Caenorhabditis elegans: one gene and its partner. The protein of the gene in region 1 interacts with the protein of each later gene in a pairwise test. Each region holds a gene or a part of one and is shown on either strand. Other genes may lie near its edges.

Region 1 (3,685 bases):
CAGTGAAAAATGGATCGAAAATTTGAATTTTCGTCTCAAAAAAATGCAGATCGCATCAAAACCCTGGAAAATCCATAAGAAACACGAATTTTGAAGGAAATGTCACGGGGACTTTATTTTAGCTCAAAACAAGTGAAAACCAGACGGATTTAGCTGAAAATCGATGGAAAATTGCGGAAAATTATGTTTTTCATTTCAGAATATCGATTTTAACCGGAAAATGCGAAATTACTGAAGAAAGCATCGGAGAAAGAACGAAAAAATTGATTTTCAGTCAGAAAATCTCTAAAATGGTGTGAGAAATACGTTTTTGAATCAAAAAATCATTTTTTTCGAGTTTTTGATTTAATTTTCGGCAAATTCTCGGATGGTTCTTGTTTTTTGAACATTAAATAATTCAAAAACCGCGTGAATAAAATACATTTTTGATTTTAAATGAATTTTAAAAATCATGGGCATGATTTTTAATATTCTCTCGTGGAAAATGGAGTAAATATAGATATTATTTGAGATTTTAAATCAATTTAACATTTAAAACAGCAGTGATCATGCCAATTTATCTGGATTTTCGCACACAACAAAATTAAAAAGTAAATTTAATCGAATAATACGGGAAAAAAACATCAACAGGATTATTGATTTTCAACAAAAAATGCTCATTTTCAGTCCAGAAAAGACGTCACAAAAGGGCCAGGTCGTCTTCTGTAATTGAAACCTTCTCGATTTTTAGAGCTGAATCAAACAGACTGTCACTTGAGATACGAAATGTATAATTTCCGTGTTCAAAAGGATCGAGAGCATCATATGGATGGTAATTTGGATTGATAGCTCTCAAAACGTCTGGGTCGACTCCTTCTATAATCTTGATGTATGCATATTCAAAATGAGCTGACTTCATTAGGTCCTGAAAATAATTCATGATTTATTTTTATATTTTAGTAGTTTCAAACTTACATCTCTTATTTTAATTGCATCAGAAACTGATAGTTTTCTCAATTTGATGGTGATACGAGAAAAATGGAAGAAGTGCTCAATGGGAATATCTTCGCATACACGTCCCTCAATATTAATCGATTTAGCGCGTTTCCATTGTTCCAAATTGATAATTTCATCCATTTTTCCAGCGGAGTCATAACAGTAAAATTCGATGTCTTCAAGAAATCCAGGCTTGCAGTGAGAAAGGACACCGAACACATCTTTGAGGGGAAAAATGTCCAATTTTATTTTTTTTGTGTGCAGCAGAATTCCTGATTGAGCAATATCTCTAATCCATTCCACAAATTGCTTTGAAGCTTCATGTGAAGAGACGATAACAAAATTATCCAATCGAAGTTTTGGATTCTTCACAATTACTGCCAAATCATCCAGAATCGCATCCAATTGAGTCTTTTCGATAGATTTACTCTGCGAAGTTCTTCGGACAGTGCAACCAGGATCATTTGAATTTCGAGAATAACAAATTGCGCCGCGTCCGATATTGGTCAACCAAAGACGAGAGGCGTATCTGGACAGATCCACCTTAACATACTTGAAGCCAGGATCAGTGTCATCGATGACATTTCGCAAATTTCGGCACACTTTGCGGACTGCCAATCTAAATTTTTAATTAAAATTGTTATTAAATTAAAAAATCGATAATACCTGCTGTATGGATCCACTTTTCCCACAATTTTATAAACCGTCTCCATTGGCATGTCAGAGAATGATGGAGGACCGGAGCTGAAATTATAAAAACTATGAGTTTTCTTCAAATTTGATTGCTGGGAGCATCATAAGAGATCGCGTAAGAAATCAGTGGATTTTTGACGTTTCAAACAAATTTTCAATTGTAATCCTTGCCTAAAACATACATTTTCATCAAATCCAACTCATCCGTCAAATTTTCACTCATTTTCGTTTCGATTGGTTGAAATCCGGCGTTTTCTGCAAAAAAACGACAAATTATTACCATAATTCAATCACAATTGTAAAGAAACCCCACGAAAAGAGTACAAAGAGCATGAAGCGAAGCTTTGACTACAAATTACGCATTTTTCGAGCAAGTACCTATTTTAATTCTAGAAAATTGATGTTTTAATGCAATTTTTACAAAAAAATCCAAAGGTTATTAGGAAAATTTGAATAAAAATCGAAAAAAGATGATCTGAAAATTTTAAATTACAAAAAAAACAGCTTAAATTATGCAATTTCAAGGAAAAAACGGGAGAAAATGAGTTTCGAAAATATTGATTGTCGTAAAATTAAATGCCGAGTACGCAGTTGTGTATTGCGTACCTTCTACAGTAGTCCTATGAAAATTTAATATTTTTTTTTGCAATTTTCATGATTTTTCCCTCAAAAACCGAAAAATTACATTGAAATCTTTAAAAAATTAGTGAAATTGGTAAAAATCTAACGAAAAAATGGTAATTCTATTTTAAAATACTGGAAAATCCACCAAACACACAATATTTTAAGGAACTTTATCGGAAATCTCAAATTTTTTGACCAAAATCAGTAAAATTTGAAGAAATAAGCTGAAAACTTTCACAAAATTTCACTGAGAATAATTTATTGACTTCAGAAAATCGATTCCTACACGAAAATGCTAATTTCTCAAGGAAGAAGCAGAAAAATACAAAAAATCGTTAAAACGATGCGAATAACCCGTCTTTGATTAATTTATTGTAGAAAATGACTAGTTTCTCGTGAGATTTCCGACAAAATTTTCGAAAATAATATGATTTTTAGAAATTTTGATTTTCAGCTGGAAAATCATCGAGAATGCATAACATTTCCATAGAAATGAGCTGATTTCTGTAATCTTCCGTCTGGTTTCAGAATTTTTTGTCAAAAATGATGATTATTAGTTTTTCCTGCCCGTCGATCGTTGAATCAAATTAAAATTCAATAAATAAAAATTTGAATAAGAACAATAGCAATACAATCAAGGTACATCACAATTTTAACAGAAAGTAATTTATTTTAACTCGGCATTTAACAACAAAAAGGGTAAGAAATAGGTAACATTAATCGATCTTCTTGATTTCCAAACGTTTTCTATAAATTGTGAGAAGAAACTGCTCGATTTTGTTCTCAATACCATCGCGATTGTGAGCAATGAAATTCGGATTGAAAACTCGTGCAGCTTCTGGAGTCAGTTCATCATAGATATCGATTATTCCGTATTCGAAGTGAGCGGATTTCATCAGATCCTGAAAATAGTCCATGATTTTTTTTGATGGTTTAGCAGCTTAAACTAACATCTCTAATTTTAATTGCATCAGGAACTGATAGTTTTCCCATTCTGATGGTAAAACGAGAAAAATGGAAGAAGTGCTCAATGGGAATATCATCGCATCTACGGCTGTCAATATTAATCGATTTAGCACGTTTCCACTGTTCCAAATTGGTAATTTCATCGATTTTTCCAGAGTTAAAACAGTAAAATTCGATGGCTTCAAGAAATCCAGGCTTGCAGTGAGAAAGGACACCGAGCAGATCTCCAGGGCAATCAATGACCCTGATTCTTTTTGTGTGGAGCAGACTTCCTGATTGGGTGATCTCTCTAAGCCACTCCACAAATTCTTTTGAATTTCCACATGAAGAGACGATAACAAAATTATCCAATCGAAGTTTTGGATTCTTCACAATTACTGCCAAATCATCCAGAATCGCGTTCAATTGAGTCTTTTCAATAGATTTC
Region 2 (4,910 bases), on another chromosome or scaffold:
GTTTTTCTCTTTACTTCTTCAATTCTCTCTTTTTTATATTCATTCAACGCATTGACCACCGGTTTACTATATTCACACTTTTCAGAAAACATCATTCTTTTACATTCTTCCTCTTTTCTAATTCCTTTAAGTCCTGCAATAAAATCATCGTGCATATGCCAATTTTGAACTGTGCTCTGAAATATTATTATTTAGACGATCCTGATAAAATAACCGATAACAAATACCATTAAATGACGCCTCCGGACGTTTTTTTGTTTCTCAATGTTAACCGAATTGTTCACCAGGAGTAAAAGGAAAATTAACATAATTGCAGCTGCAGGCCATACGAAAAGTTCTGATAATTTTAACTGGCGATTTTTTTTACAGAACATCACATACTGAGTAATTCGATAACTCCATCAACTCTTGGATTATCATCAAAATCCTCTTCGGATTGGAAACAGTTTGAATCCCTGCTCACGTGAAACATTTGAAGAAATGAAAATGTTTCTAACTAATGTTTCCTTTTTAATCGTTTTAAAACATGAACTGGAAGAAAAATTGAATAAAAACTATTTTTTATTATTTTATCTCGCCCTGTATTTCAATTTCAAAATTCAAAATTTTGGTCTCAAAAACAGGGTACCGAGAAAATGGTCAATGTGAAAGACTGCTAAAAATATTAGCTCTTGGACTTGTGCTTAAAATTATAATGGACAGATTGGGAAGGGGTAGGGGTTTAGAATGGGGACTTGGGGCTGGTTTGATGGGGATGTGAGATTTGAACATATCTAACTAGCGGGAAAGAAAATTAAAATCTCAAGTTACTAAAAATTTAGAAAAGATGAAAAATTTTTGATGACTACATCAAACCGGGAAGATTCTACAGGGGTTAGCGTTAAGATAACACAGAAAAATAAAGGGGGTGCTTTGGCATTCGAGGTAGTATGAATGGGTAGGGGAATAGCTGCATCAATAAAAGTATCAATGAGTATTCTCCAAAATGGTTATCCTGATAAGATGTTATTACCGGGGCACCTGCCGTTTTTCTCTGATGTTAAAATATCTTTTCAAGATCTGCGAAGAAAGGGAAAAGATACTTAAAAATCAAAGAGCATATGGTGAAAGCAGCAGGGCGAGTTTAAATTACAGAAAGGAATTAATGGTATTAGGTATCTCATTACATAATTATTACTAACTGTATGTGTATGCTATTCCTAAAGGAGTGAGATGGTAGATACCAATTGATGACATGATAAAGATGGGGGAGATGAGAGGGGGAAAAAATGGCAACATGATGTATGGCACATGATTCTATGGTAACCTAAAATGGTGAGAACGAACAAAACAAAGGGAGTGTGAGTTATAAATGTGAACTTTTTAGAAAGAGGTGTTGTTGACTGAAGAAGCCGAGGGACTTGCTCCACTCGGGGACACATTGGTGTTTGTTTGATTGGCAAAAGAAGATGCAGAAGTGAAAAGACCAGGGAATGAGTTGACAAACGAAGTGGTTGTTGGGTACTTCGGGAACGTCAAATCACTTGCAAGTTGAAGAGAGCTGAATGAATCAAACATGCTCGGGCTCAGAAGCGAGTAATCGAAGACGTTAGATCCGAGAAGGTTGGATGCAGTGAGAGTGGGGCTCTGAAATTAAAAATATGAAACTTAAACTGAAGAACTGTTCTACCAAGATCGATCCTCCAAATGTCGTTGACGGGAGTCCTGATCCAGGAGTTGGCGACATCAAAACTGGACCTGAACTACGTAGTGGAGTTGGAGAGAGCAGAGGAACTGCAGTCATCACACGAGCTGGGTTTGGCGACTTCATTGGACGATACGTACCGTTGATGATTGCAAGTTCCATAAGTTGTTTTCTCTTCAGCTCGTCAGTTCCCTCGGGCTGAAAATAGGTTATTGTAGAGATTTTACGAAGCATATAACTCACAGCCGGAATGAGCAACTTCTTGACCTGTTCGAGTGCTGCTTGCAATTTGATGTGAACACGATTCTCAGTGTCTTCGCATTGCACAAGAACGTGCAGATCGTCTTCGAGATGCTCCCAATTGGCCTTTCCACGGTGAGCACTTTCCTTCAACAACTAAACTTTGTTTTAGATAAAATTGTAACAAGATCAAACCTTTGACTTGTCCCGCATTGATCCCTTTCCTCGGACCATAATCTTGCATCCAGTGTCCTGCTCAAGCTGCTTGGCGGTCATCCCACGTGGGCCGAGAATTCTACCGACGAAGTTATACTGAAATGTTTTAGTTGTTCGAAAACTTGAAATTCGTTAAATTACGTCTGGGTATTCGTTCTTTGGAACATAAATCTTCTCAGTGATCGAAATCATGTCTCCAGCAGGCTCAGGAAGCTCAACTCTCGGAAACTCAGTTTGGAACAAAGCCACGCGGACACGACCGATTTCTAAAATAAAATAATTACTTGTAGGAACACAGAGCGGTTATGTACCATCATCCAACAAACGTTCAACATTGCTGAACATATGAGGAAAGAGCGTAAGATGTTTCTTCTCTTTAACCAGATCAGCCAAGTACTCGACAGTTGCCTCAACCTCGATTGGTTCTGTAGCTGTTGGAGAGAACAGGCCTGAAGAAATTACAGAAAAATAAGTAGACATGAGATTGTTTCATACTCTTGTCCATCGATGATTTTCCATAACTCATTGGAGTTGCAGGAAGAGTCGGGGAAAAGATACTTCTGCTCTTTGGATTGAACATGGCTGGCGACAAAAGCGAATTAGGTGTTTGACTGTAAGCGCTCGAAATCGGGGACATGATGTGTCTGTTGTTCGTCGATAGCGTCAGACGAGCTGGTGGTGGCGCTCTAACAGAGCTCTGAAAATTTTTTATTACTGTAATTGATGAACAAAATGAAAATTCGCGTACCCATCCGTCTCGCCGAGTTGACGGCCAACGATCCGCTGGAACATTGTCGATGATGGGGAATCTCTTCCGTGGACTATTGTCTCCATCCAGAGACGTTGGCGTCATAACGGACGAACGAGATGGCGATTCAGAGCTTTGGCTTTCTAGTTGGGTCGAAACACCGTAAGTTGGAGTGGTGCACGACGGCATTCTTCGATGGTTAACCTGTAAGAAAACTTAGTAATAATATATTTTTCAATAACGTAACGACATAAGCTTAAACTCTGCGGCGATTCGCTCATCTAGCTTATCTAACGAATATTCACTAGAATTTCGGAATGAAACATTCGAGGAAAATGTGAAAGTGGTCATATTCAAATAGAAATAATTATTTCTAAAATTTTTAGATGAAACGAAATATAAAACAACCAAAAAGCATCGAAAAAATAAAACTCTAAAAAGTTTTGAGGTGAAGTCCTAAATTTCGAAACTTTTACCGTATACCTGTTTGCGATCGCTGCGAGACCCATACGTCGCGGTGCAACATGTTCCTTTAAGTTCCAGAAATGCGCGCACGGGTGGCGAAACGGCAGGAATTGGCCACGCCTATTAAGCCGTGCGCTGATTTGCATGAGGCTTTTCAGAATTTAATTGAATACTTTCAATTCAGAGTTTTATAAAATGAATCGAATTTATTTAAACAGGAAAATAAATAAAAAACACTTGTGTATCTCAATTTATCGACGCTGGTTGTTGAAACGTCTTCGATATTTTGGTTTTGATTCTTCACATTCTTCAATTGGTGGTGGAAGACCTGCAGCTTCAGCAGCAGATATTTGAAGAAGGAATCGTTTTTTCTTTTCAGTCTCCAAGATATTGGTGATACGAGTGCTAATTCCCAGGTCCACTTCTGGGATTCCTGCGAGCATATGCTCTGAAAGCAATTCTGTCTCCTTTTTGCTTTGATTTCCCTTCACTTTTCCAGCAGCTTGTTTCAAAAGCTCTACATCACGATCTTCTGCATTCAGCGATGAAAATTTAGCTGCAGCTGATGAAGAAGGTTGTTTCTGTTTTTCAATTTTAGAAGTATCAGCTGTATATTCTTGAAGTCCGTCATCAATATATTTCCTTAATTCTTCATGTTCATCTCTCAGCATTGTTTCCTTCTCGAATTGTTCTCGGAGTCCTTGTTCAATGCTTGCAGCTTCCATTGCTGCCTTCTTTTTACTTGTCATCACCATTCCGCCACCAGCCATTTGAATTCCATCCTCGAGAGCTGCAGCTTTTGAAATTCCAACTGCGCATTCTAATTCTGTGAGACCATTTTTCCTTTCTCGTGATCGTTGAAGATCTCGAATATCGGAAACTCTTGACGACTCTTCTGGAAAAAAAAATTTAGAACATTAAAAATTTTAATGCATGTTATGCTCTTAAGTTATCATTTGCTTTAAAAACAATTATTTTATCAGATTAAAAATTAAATACCATCAGCAGCAACGTCGTCGTCTTCTAAAATTTTCCTTTTTTGAATTTTTGATTTTGGTTTTCTGAAGATATCGGCCATTGTGTTCGTTGATGCTTAAAGTTTAAAAATTAAATAGCATTCAAATTTTAGAAAAAAGTTTTCAAAGTGTAAATGTAACATTTTTCTGAATCAGAACAGTTTTTCAAATAATCAAACTGTGTGAGATTGTTGGATGCAATAAAATTTATACATATCTGGTCACATCGGTACAGAAAAACTGGGATTACTGAAAAAGAAGTTGTGAAAAAGTTTTGATTTTGTGAAAAACAAGACCCAAATGATAAAAAATTATCAAAAAAAGTGAAAACAAATGACATGAAAAGTGAAGATGGTAAAGAGAAATTATGCCCGGATTTTTTGTGATTAAAGTTAACAAAAACGAATGATAAAGCTAATATAAATGTCAAAAAGAAGGGGAGTGTGAGTTAGGGGTAGATATGGAATATGGAAAATATGCACATTTATTGACTTGAGGAAGGAAAAGACTAAGAATTATTGATTGATTCCACTTAATTCTG

The links. Proteins that work in one complex are often made in the same cells at the same time.
Region 2: the proteins of fog-2 (region 1) and gld-1 interact in a two-hybrid assay, tested with the Caenorhabditis elegans proteins (2 studies listed by BioGRID).

What each region holds. Positions count from the first base shown.
Region 1 is NC_003283.11:20,197,500-20,201,184, reverse strand, and holds fog-2 (F-box domain-containing protein), read right to left. Parts: upstream 1,924-3,685; 5' UTR 1,892-1,923; coding exon 1,851-1,891; intron 1,720-1,850; coding exon 1,642-1,719; intron 1,595-1,641; coding exon 955-1,594; intron 905-954; coding exon 680-904; 3' UTR 545-679; downstream 1-544. Other genes in the region: ftr-1 (F-box domain-containing protein), read right to left, coding at 3,009-3,194, 3,244-3,685.
Region 2 is NC_003279.8:7,693,863-7,698,772, reverse strand, and holds gld-1 (Female germline-specific tumor suppressor gld-1), read right to left. Parts: upstream 3,093-4,910; 5' UTR 3,078-3,092; coding exon 2,889-3,077; intron 2,838-2,888; coding exon 2,636-2,837; intron 2,590-2,635; coding exon 2,452-2,589; intron 2,407-2,451; coding exon 2,282-2,406; intron 2,237-2,281; coding exon 2,120-2,236; intron 2,072-2,119; coding exon 1,928-2,071; intron 1,883-1,927; coding exon 1,670-1,882; intron 1,627-1,669; coding exon 1,363-1,626; 3' UTR 551-1,362; downstream 1-550. Other genes in the region: T23G11.10 (uncharacterized protein), read right to left, coding at 1-176, 228-337, 382-472; T23G11.4 (Hepatocellular carcinoma-associated antigen 59), read right to left, coding at 3,605-4,248, 4,353-4,431. UniProt on the Caenorhabditis elegans protein: RNA-binding protein which recognizes the 5'-UACUCAU-3' RNA consensus sequence. Binds sequences in both the 5'coding and the 3'-UTR region of rme-2 mRNA. Binds sequences in the 3'-UTR region of cye-1 mRNA. Binds to cyb-2.1, cyb-2.2 and cyb-3 mRNA.